Linked DNA regions of Coturnix japonica. The protein of the gene in region 2 purifies or fractionates together with the protein of the main gene of each other region. This does not show direct contact. Links are inferred from orthologs where the notes say so. Each region holds a gene or a part of one and is shown on either strand. Other genes may lie near its edges.

What was found.
Region 1: the proteins of SMAD3 (region 2) and FOXO3 purify together in Homo sapiens (affinity purification with western blotting; 3 studies listed by BioGRID and IntAct, with this or other methods). This does not show direct contact. The link is inferred for Coturnix japonica from reciprocal best matches to the Homo sapiens genes SMAD3 and FOXO3.

The regions. Positions count from the first base shown.
Region 1 is NC_029518.1:61,257,347-61,263,222, forward strand, and holds the start of FOXO3 (forkhead box protein O3), read right to left. Parts: upstream 3,441-5,876; 5' UTR 3,171-3,440; coding exon 2,586-3,170; intron 1-2,585. UniProt on the Homo sapiens protein: Transcriptional activator that recognizes and binds to the DNA sequence 5'-[AG]TAAA[TC]A-3' and regulates different processes, such as apoptosis and autophagy.
Region 2 is NC_029525.1:17,088,768-17,094,216, forward strand, and holds part of SMAD3 (mothers against decapentaplegic homolog 3), read left to right. Parts: intron 1-183; coding exon 184-321; intron 322-2,281; coding exon 2,282-2,426; intron 2,427-5,334; coding exon 5,335-5,449. UniProt on the Homo sapiens protein: Receptor-regulated SMAD (R-SMAD) that is an intracellular signal transducer and transcriptional modulator activated by TGF-beta (transforming growth factor) and activin type 1 receptor kinases.

The sequences.
Region 1 (5,876 bases), on a different chromosome or scaffold from region 2:
TGAGTTGAAACATTATTTTTCCAAGTATTTAGCAAGCAGCACAGAAGCTCTGCAATCGCAGGCTGCAGATAGGGTAACAGATGCCTGAATTCAGGAGCACACACATACGAACCATCGAGGAACTGCATGGAGGTGCGTGCAATACTCCTACACCACGCTGCCAGCCGACACCTTTCCCCCAGCTCCAGCAATAAGAAATTTAAACGCTGACTTCCCACAGCAATCCCAGGCAGTCAGCAAATAAGGGAGCACACACCTAACCCCTCTCGGGCCATCCAGCAGGCTGGACTGACAGTAGTATGGGGCTGGCATCCTGCTGGCACTGGGGCAGGCTGGAGCTGTGTGCATGGGGTGAGCCTTATCGGAGTTAGCGGAAGCGTAATATATGTCTTCCTAACCACATCTGAAACATTCACTTCTGCTTTAATGGCCGAGGCAAAAATAATAATAACGTGTAGTCGAACGATAGTCGCAACTTTAATTTATAGCTCTTAAAATAATTGTTTGGAGGAGTGTAATCCCAGCTATGCATACGGATTATGGTCTTCACCGCATCTCACTGGGAACAGCATTAAAATTTCATGTATAATAATACCTAGGATATCAAAACAAGGTATCGGCTTCCCTTTATTTAAAACGACACTTTTCCCCCCTCAAGGCTGGAGAAGAATATTGTTAAGTGTGCCTGCAGCCTTCTAAAATAAACCTGGTTATGTGAAATTAAGATGAAGTCCGTCTGATACAGAGTTATTTTTCTGTTCACTTAAAATCTTAGGTTAAAACCTGAAAAAAAGCCCGGTGTGAGATGCTGACCTTACCTCCTGAAGAGTTGTGTTCACTACCTGAGAAGGAAACAGAGATGATAACATATAATGTGCGTGAGCACCGGGAGGCTAAGATGGAGTCCCTGTTTAAGAGTAGTGCCTCTGTACAAACTCACTTACTTTCAAAGTAGCTGAAATATCCCTCTTCCTAATACATACACAGGGACTGAAGTGGCCCCTGCTCTGCTCGGCAGCCCGTGGTCAGCTCCTGGCCTCCCTTAACCCTGCATCTCACTGCCTGAGCACGGCCCAACATGCTTCTGTGCCGATAAAGGTCACCCTAAAGGCTGCAGAGGGGCTTCTGAGCTAAACCGTATGAAAGAAATCCCAAGGGATCCAAGTTTTTAACACTGTAATTAGCTCCAAGTACCAGCTAATGCTGCTCAGGAAAGGAATCAATATCAAATTAACAGGCTAAGTTGTCAGAAAAAATAGTGACTGTATTAAGCACGCTGATCAATGCGAGCACTTGGTGCTATGGGCCGGGTCCTGCTGCTGAGGCAATGGGGAGCTCTGCCACCACATTCAGCTCAAGCAGCACAGCCCTGCTGCCTGCCCTTTGGAACAGTGATAGGGAGTTCACTGAAAATTCAACACAGCTGATAAAGGAGCAGCGTTTGCCACAGCAGCTGGCAGCGAGAGCCTCGGCTCAGTGTGCAGTACCTACTGAGCCGAGGCTGGCACCATGAGAATTTAACCCTTTGCCATACTCCATGATCACCCTCACACAACAGCCGGTGCAGCTCAGCTCCAACACTGCAGAGTACGTGGGTTTCAGAGCCCTGCCCCACATTAGCTATGCCCCAATAAACTTTGTGCTCCTGTTTTCCTGAGCCTGAGGTATGGCATCCCAACGCTTCCCCCACAGCACTCCACTTGGAACCTAGCAGCACGTCAGTCCTACTCCAGAACTACGGGGTGAGGCAGAGCTGCCAACAATGCAGCCAGAGCTGCTTCAACCCGCAGTATTCCTGACTGGTTCACGCACAGGTTAACCCTGATGCAAGGCAGGGAGAATCGAAGTAGAAACCAAACCTCCCTGTAGCACAAGGAAACTTCCTGCACACATGCCCTCAACAGCCCCATCCCTTAGCAGCAGCTGCGATGCCCCACACACCCCAGTAACGTTCTGCAGCAGCACCCACAGATCTGTATGGCCGCATGTCAGCTCCAAAGGGCCGACAGCCGGCCATGGGAACAAGCCCAAAGCAAGTGGGTCAGGCAGTGCCCACCTCACACCCCATTTACACTGGGTAAGCATTGCCGGGTTGTATGGGTGCAGGGCCTCTCTCTGCCAGGCTGGGTCCGTCAGCAACACAGTAGCGACCTCAGCGCAGCCTGCCGTGCTGTAAGCTGCTATCACCCCAACGGGCACGATAGATGGATGGGGTAAGTGAGGGGCACACAGGCTGGCAGCACCAAGCCATCACTCTCGCAAACCCTGTCATCTCCATATGAAAACGGAGCTTTGGGCTTCTCTCCACCACCTTTAGGAACGGCAGAGCTGGCAGTTGCTGGAGGAAAACGCAAGTCAATCTACATGTGAGCTTTGGGCTGGCACCGCACGAGAGCAACTCCGCTTATTTCTGTTGCGAGTTACAAGGTCCCTACAACTTGTACAAAATAAAAAGCCTTTAAGAACACCGTCTCCTGCCTTCCCTGCTCGTCCCCCTGCACCAGCCGGCGGCCGAGCGGCGAAAGTCCCATCCCTTCCCATCCTCGTCCCCTACGCTGCGGTCAGCCGGCAGCCCGTCCCCTCACCTTCCATCCGGCCGAGCTGTTGCTGTCGCCCTTATCCTTGAAGTAGGGCACGCACCGCACCATCCAGTCGTAGATCTGCGACAGGGTGAGCCGCTTCTCGGGGGAGCTCTCGATGGCGTGGGTGATGAGGTCGGCGTACGAGAGGTTGCCCCACGCGTTGCGCCGCGACGAGCACTTCCTCGGCGCCGCCGCCGCGGGGCCGCCGCCGCTCAGCCCCCCGCCGCCCGCCGCCGTGGCCGCTCCTCCCGGCGCCGGCCCGGGCCCCTCCGGGCCGCCTCCGGGCACGGGGACCGGCGGCCGCGCCGCCTCCTCGGGGCCGCCGGCGGCCGCCGCTTCGCCTCCCACGGGGGCCGCGCCGCCGACGGCCATGGCCGCGCCGCCCCCCTCCTCGTCGTCGTCCTCCTCCTCGGGGATCATGGAGGCGGCGTCGGCGGCCGGCTCGCCGGCGGGCTTGGCGGGGCTGGCCTGCAGTTCGGGCCTCTGCAGCGGCCAGGTGCAGGAGCGGGGGCGGCTCTGCGGCTCGAACTCGGGGTCCAGCTCCACGTCCAGGGGCGAGAGCGGCCCGGGGGGCGACGCCTCTGCCATCTCGGCCTCCCTCGGGGGCGGCTGCGGCGGCGGCGGGGCGCTGCGACGGGGCGGGCGGCCGCCGGCCCCGCTCCTCCTCCGCCGCCGCCTGCTCGGTGCCGCCGGGAGCCTAGCGGGCGGGCATGCCGCTCCCCGCGGGCACGGAGCGAACGGGCGAAGCCGGCGAAAACAACGAACGGAGAGCGAAAAACGCGATTCAATCGGGCGGAGCGCCGGAGCGCGGTGCCGGGGTGCGCTCGGCGCCGCGAGTGTGCGTTTGTTTATGTTTCTTCACTCCATGCGGGCTCTCCGGCTGCGTCCGCGCCGTACCTGGCCGTGGGGGCCGGCGAGCACCTTCCCTTCCTCGGGGGGTCCTGCGCTCGTCCCGGGGAGGCACCGAGGAGTCCGTCCTTCTTCGGGACGCCCCGAGGGGAGCGTGGATCCCTGCGCGCTGATCGCCGTCACTTCGCCTTGCCCCCAAACACAGCGGCACCTCCTCGCCAGAAGAAAGGAAAAAAAAAATAACAACACCACAAAAAACCCACAACGTAATAATAACGATAGAAATCCTTTCTCTCACGGGGGAAAAAGCGAGCACGAGAGGGACGGATCGGCGCTCCTCCAACAGGTCCGGGAGCTTTAAGCCCTCCCTCGGGCTGCCGAAGCGAATGGGTTTTGTTCCAGCAGCACCGCCGCGCTCGTAACCTCGGCGCTCATAACCTCCGTGCTCCTGCCGCTGCCATCTTGACAGTTCCCTCCGCTCCAGTCACCGAAAAACCGCGGCCGGGGAGCGGTGGGGACAGAGCCGACGACCGCCCCCAGGCCAGCGGAAAGGCGAAGCCCAGCGCCCGGCAGCGGCGGTGCTGGTGTTGGCGATACAGCCGCTCCTGCCGCTGCGCGGCTCCGCTCCGCCCGCTCTGCGCCCGGGGCTCGGCGGAGCCTTCCCTTTAAAGGCGACGCGGGGGGAGGCGGCGAGGCGAGCGGCCCGGCTGCCGCAGCCCGCCCCAGCTGCCCGTGGCCCTGCCGGCCGCCAGTTGGCACGTCCCTCCTCCTCCTCGCCACAACACAAAGTTATAGCCGCGCGCACACAGCCGCAACCTAACCCAACGCAACGCAGCGCCCGCCCACGGGCGGGGCCCAGCGGGGCCTCCCACACAGGGCGGGGAGACGGGAGCGGAGCGCGGCCGGGCCCCTGCGCCCCTCCGCCGGGGGGAGCGGGGACGGTGGTACAGTGTCGTTGCATGTCCGCCCGTGTATCCTCTTGGATTTAAGCAACATGGGTGATTTCACTACTCCATACGCTGAGTTTGTGTCACGTTCGCCCGATCTGCTGCCTAATCCCACCTGCAGGTAGCTCTGCTTGTCGCAGTGGAGCAATAGCGCGCCTCCTAACTGGGCTGTGAATTGTGCGTACAAGTTATTCTTGTGTTACCTCCGGAGTCCAGTTTTGGTCCTGTTTTTGGTGCCGTGTTCAGGCAGCAGGGTGGAGAACACTCAGCCGATGCCCACGTGAAGGCCATCACCCCACTGTGTTCTCCACCCCTGACGGAAGGGCCTCAGAAGCTTGAGGATGTTGCTAATGACAGGTTGGGTAAAGGGGTGACCCACAAACCAGGAGCACGGCACTCTCAACAGCTCTTGCCTGGCTTTATGTCAGCCTCAGCCACGGACCAGAATCAGTACAAAACGTGTCGACTCAGGTGTGCTTCTGAAGCGTTTCCACGCAGAATTACTGTCTAGATCAAAGACCACGCAAGGCTGTGAGTGATGAGGCTTCCTCAAACACCACGAGGAGCCCAAGCAGGCCAGCTGCTGGCTGCCACCAACACCAAAGCCTTCCCCAAACCTGGCCGTGCTTGGGGGCAGCGTTTCCTCAGTTGCCAAGGTTCCACGCCGCACAGTTCCATACCACGCTTTGACCTTGGGCTGGGTTTCAAGCTGAAGTTCTAGTCCTAAATGATATTATCATCTTCGTTTATTTATTTAATTGGCATTGCATTGCTGCACAGGCACTGCCATTACGGCTCATTGTGCTAGGTGAAGGCCCCGCACGTGGTCAGAAATGCTCTACTCCCTGCCAGAATTGCAGCCTAAGTAAGACAGGCCAGGGCGGGAGAAAGGAAATAAGTAAGTAGTAACCCTATTAAGGAGATGATGGACCGAGGCACCAAGCAATTACATGACTCTGCTGAGGTCATACAGGAAGCCCGTGTCAGAACTAAGAAATAAAACCAGATCTTCTGGGTGCCAGCCCTGGCCCTTTGCTGCAGGATTCTCTTTCCTCTTCAAAATGTGCTCCAGCCAGACAGCCTGTTACTGCATAAGTTACAGTATCCATTCTCCATGCTTCCACACAGTGAAATAGAACGAGGAACCCGTTATCATCGCTGTTCTGTGGCTGGGAAGGCTGCGAGAGGAGTGATCCAAATTGAATCTAAAGCCTGCACAATTTCCAGCCTCTTCCTTTAAGTACCTAAACGCCCTGAGGGTGGGATTTTCAAAAAGCTGGGTTTATGGCAGTTTTATCGCTGACTTCAACAGGAATAAAGTTAGGCCAGCCCCGAGGCCATCCCACAGTCTCACTCACTTACTGTGCCTACTTAGGCTGAGAGTACTGTGTCTTCCTCTGCAACACCTTCCAAAACCTTGAATAAGGATGGTAGACACACACGTATCTCGCATGGCGGGTGAGACAGCCACCTTCTTACTGGGAGGGCTACACGCCAT
Region 2 (5,449 bases):
GGTGAGACTGTGCAGCCCAGTCTGGCTGGAGCCCAGGTCTGAGCTGGTTTTCATTGCCATCATTCATGGTTCAGCTGCTTTCTGAGCTGTCAGGTGTGGAGGCTGTGCCTCTTCCCACTCACCTTCCAGGTTTTGCAGGTGGCCGTTCTGAACTAACCCTGACCTGTGCTCTGTGTTTCTCAGGAAGAGGAGTGAGGCTGTACTACATCGGCGGGGAGGTGTTTGCTGAGTGCCTTAGTGACAGCGCCATTTTCGTCCAGTCTCCCAACTGCAACCAGCGCTATGGCTGGCACCCAGCAACGGTCTGCAAGATCCCACCGGGTAAGGACACGCGCGGGTAGGAAGAAACAGTGCTGCACAGTTCAAGCAGGATCTGCCGTGTATTCAGCACAGTGTGTCGATGTTGTTGTTGTCTAATAGTCCTGCTTATAACTTCATATGAAAGAAGGTAACTTTGGATTTTTTTCTCAGTTTAGATTAGCCCATAATAAACTGTTGCTGGTTTCTGTTCTGTAGTGCAGCCTTTTTTCTGTGAGCTTTATTCTAGAGAAATTAGAATAGAATCTAGAATGTCACTTGTGAGGTATGCTGAAATGTCAGAGGAGACATTATTGTGTGTATTTGGGAAAAGCTGCTATTTTTGTTAGATACACACATGAGCTGGGATGAGAAGATGCTTTTCAAAAGGCTGTTTAGCCAGGCTTCCAAAACCTGCTGCTTTTTTTTTTTTTAACATTTAAAAGTACTTATATGTTCAAAAAGTAACTTTTTCATTTAGAAATACTTGAATAAAGATCCTCTTTTTTTAGAAGAGAGATCCATACACTGCAAGTCCTGGCCCATCTAAATGGGTTTCCTTTCTCAGATGCTTAGGGAGCAGCTGCCAGTGCTACAAACATGACTTAATTCTCCAGCCACATCACAGGAGTCCACCCGGGCTGGAGTCAACATGTGAAAACATAAACAGCCCACATTTCCGCTGTAGATCCATCTCAGGCACATTTCTTGGACACCGGCTCTCCCTGCTATTGCCACAGCCCGGCTGCCTTCTCAGATTCATCTTCCATTTTTGTTGGTTTTGAAGCGGTTTCTTCATTCCGCTGTTGATGAGGCCGGGTTGTACCACTTCCTGCCAGGCACGGTCACAGGGAGACCTGCTCACATCGCTCCTGAGCTCTGAGCAGTTTGCAGTCTGATCAGACTGTTTCCTTTCCTTGCCATAGCTCGTTCCCTGTGCTCTCTCCCATCTTATTTTCCCCTCTTAGGCTGCAGTGTGCCCGGCACGGCACCCCTTAGTGCTCCACGAGGCCCGTGGCTCTTGGGCTGGGCTCTGTTATGGCCACAAAAACGGGCAGTTTTTATTTTGCAGCTGCTGAGCCATTGAATGCGGTTATGCTTTGCTGTATGTGGTTCGGCCCAAAACAGATGGCAGTGTGGGTCCAGCCCAAGGGAGCAGGCTCTGAAGGGATCTTAGAAAAATACAATTCATCACAGTCCAACTGGTTGTTTTTCAGACTTGGTCCATATGTAATTCCAAATGAGCACCAGTGGCATGCCAAGTTTCAGGGTTTAACTCATTTCTGATTATCAGGGAGAAAGCAAGAGTGAAAGTTAGGTATTTATTTACTTATTTTAACCACGGATAACGTGATTGCTTTTCACCTTTATCACCTAGGACAGCTGAACAGGTTGTTCTCTGTCTTTCAGCTGTGAGTAAACACTGAGGGGAGCACATCCCTTCTAAAGGAAAATTCTTTGGCACATCAGATTAAATGTACAGAGGTTACAGCTCTGCTACCAGCCCCCTGAACCCTGTATGTGGGCTCTGGCTGCCCAGAGCTGCTTCACTTCAGAACATTCATTCTGCTGACAGGCACCACATAAATCCAACACCAGCGAGTCCCTGTTTTTAACCCATGCATTCCTTTGTTTCAGGCTCTGTAGCAGTAGCTGTCAGTAAGTGTTACGGTCACAGGTGGGCTTTTAAATGAATACACAATGAAAATTAGTATAAATGAGGTTTCACCTGAGGATCCCAGGTCCATCATGCAGGTGGCAGCGTGATGTGTGAGTGATCTCTGTCCCATAATGTGGTTTTCAGCCCATGGGCTGTGGAAAACCCCAGCAGGCTTGTTGAAGTGCAGTCATTGAGCAGCCTGTGAATGGTGTCACATGGTCTGGGGACATGGGAAAGCAGCATTGAGTTTCTTTCCATTCCTATAAAGAAACAGATTTCTTAATGTGGCTAACACCTTGTTTTGGTCGTGTTCTTTATGCACAGGATGTAACTTGAAGATTTTTAACAACCAGGAATTCGCGGCTCTCTTGGCTCAGTCTGTGAACCAGGGCTTCGAAGCTGTGTACCAGCTGACCAGGATGTGCACCATTCGGATGAGCTTCGTCAAGGGCTGGGGAGCTGAATACAGGTCAGCCCATGTTCCGTGGTGTGTGGTGTGCTCATGCACGGCCCAGCAGTGTTCTGCACAGCTTTCTTATTCAGCCTTGAGATTGGGAGGCTTAATGGCGTATCTCTTTGGTAATGCACACCTTGTATTTGCTAAGAATGTGCTGACCTCATATCTTATTTTTCCCATTCTCTTTGTGTAAAACCTGCATCGTGGGATATATTGGAAACCCACGTGTGTTTGGTCACAGTGCTTTGCAGGCCTGGAGCCGTACCTGAAGCACATCAGACACATCTGTGTGGTTGTGTGGGAAACAGCACCTATTTTTTCTTAAACTTGGGTGTGTATTTGACAGGTTTTGGATAGTCGTAGTACGACACTGTTATCAGGACAGGATCAGTGCGAGCGCTTCCTCACAGATATGGGTTAGGTTTGGTGTTTTCTTTTATCGGTGACTAATAGAGGTTAAAGTCAAAACAACTCGGCATGAAAATGCACATATGGAAAACTATTGAGAGTTGCTGCTGCTATATCCCCTCATCCTGCTCTTAGTGCTTGTCATTGCGTGGCTACTTCAAGGTGAGTGGAGGCCATGGGACAAGCAGGGTCCCTATTAGATGTGAAAAAGGAGATGGAGTCTGGGATGGATGATGTGGTTGTTCTGACAGCACAGGGTGTGAGGACACAGAACTCTGTAATTCGTGTCACTGCTGCCCCACTGCATTAACAAACAAACATCCCTAAGAGTAGCAAAGGGAGTAAAAGTGGTGTTAGTAGTATGAGCAGGGGAGGTGAAATCTGTCAGAAAACAAATGTCATTTTATGAGAGAAAAAGCTGGCACAGACTTCAGCCAAATTCGATTTTGAAATACTTGCTTGACTGTGCACCCTTTCAGTCAGCCCCAATTGGAAGTGCAGGGCAGCCTCTGCCTCCCGGAGCAGCGCGGCTGTGCCGACGCGCCCTGCGTGCAGCTGCTGGCCGACAGGGAGGTGCCACGGCTCAGCTGCAGCCCCGTCCTGCACGGTACGCTCCCACTTTCTTCATTTCTCCAGATGTTTGGAGTCCATTTTGTTTTGAAATTGTCCTGCGCTCGGGCCAGAGCATTTCAGCCCTGGATCTCAGCCACCGCTCGTAATGAAATCCAGATGAGCGTGACTTACGGAAAGTCAACTATCTCATTAGAGTATTGTAGGCAATGAAACCCTGCGCTCACGCTGAAGCTGCTCTCCTGCTCCTTCATTTCCTTGCCACAAAATGCTCCATCTCTTCACCTTTGTCAGGGCACGTTGATTAGTTGAACTGGTGGGTATGGAGCTGTGTAGCTGTGGGAGCTGCATCCAGTGATTCTGGTTTGGCTGTGTTGCTGTTGGAGCACTGTGGGGTGTTTGGTACAGGGAGAAGCCAATTGCACGTGCAGGATGGAGGTTCTGTGTCCAGCAAGAGCCAGCTGTGAGAGCTCACCTTCAGGCAGGCTGCATTCAGTCTGCAGGTGGGAAGGCAGTGAGGTGTGCCAGGAGGGCAGGAGTGCAGCAGCCCCTCGGGCATTGGGTCCCTGCACGTTGTTGCTGGACAGTAGTTGGGCTGCTCAATGTTGACCCATTGTAGGCAGCAAATGGGAATGCTCTGTGTTAAGGGAGACTGGATCTTATGGGATCTCGGAGGTCTGTCTGTGTCAGTGCATCCCGCTGCCCTGGCAGCCTGCAGTGCTCACCGAGATGCTGTGACTGCCTGCATCCCATCAGCTCTGAGCCCTGCCCACCCGCCCACTCTGGGGCACTGCATCCCTGCCAGCGCTGCTCGGGAATGGGTGCGGTGCCTTCGGGAGCTGCTTCCTTTCTCAGCTCAAGGACAGGGGATGCAGCGCATTGCTGGGCCGCGCTCCAGCCCTCAGCCAAAGCCTCACACAGCCATACACAGCTCTGTGCCCTGCTGCAAAGGGATGGGGATGGTGCTGGGAGTGCTGGGCAGCCCCATGGGCACAGCCCCATTGCAGCAGCACTTTTTGCCCAGGCCCCACAGATTTTGGTCTCCCTCCCACAGGCAGATTCCAAGGACGGCTTCTGTGGGAAACGAGGGTGTAAACCAAGGCTGTTTGCAGGCTATTTCTCTCTCGTGGTAATCCTCCTCCTCCACAGCAGCTGTCCCTGCCTCTCTGCCTGGATCGAGAATCCCTCTGTCCCTGGGCACAGCCCCTGCCCTATATCCTGGTCCCGAGTCCCTCCCTGTCCTCCCCTTGTCACCCTGCTCTGCTGTCTGGAGGCATCTGTGGGCTCTGGCCCTCGGGAATAACAGGGCAGCAAATGGGGGATGCTGGGGGGCAGCGGGAAGTGAAGCACAGGGAGCACTGACCCTGCAGGCGTCTGATCCCCGCTGTTCTCCACCCACTGCCAGCAGCTACAGAGGTTTTTAAAGCACATCAGTTAATTCCATACTGCTGCTTTTCTGCCCTATGTGCGGCTGTAGAGTTGGGTCCATGCCTCCAGCACAGGGACAGTGGGGTCACTTCTGTCGCCTCTGATCTGGCCAAAACCCGAAGATGGGGTGAAAAGAGAACCTCACACACAGCAATCTGACATACTGTGCTTACTGACTAATCAGGAGGCACGAGGTGTGCAGAATTAAACTGGGGTGTTGCTCAGATAAGCACCTTATTCCAGAAGTCTGAGTAACAAATAGATGATATTGTGAGTTTCCCTCTGGGATGGCAGGGGATGTAAAGGGAAAGATGGGCGCTTTCAGGAAGTTGGCAGCATTGGCCAGGAGTGTATTAAAGAGGAGGGAGACTTTCCTTTGGCCCCACGTGCGGGACTGTTGTGTAAGCAGGAAAGAATGCTTCGGTAGCTGTAAAACCTCAGATCTGTAACGTTTTGCAAGTCCCATTTAAACGTTCTGTTTCCTCCCTCTCTCCCCAACCCCTTCTCCTCGCAGGCGGCAGACGGTGACCAGCACTCCCTGCTGGATTGAGCTGCACCTCAACGGCCCCCTGCAGTGGCTGGACAAGGTCCTCACACAGATGGGCTCCCCCAGCATCCGCTGCTCCAGC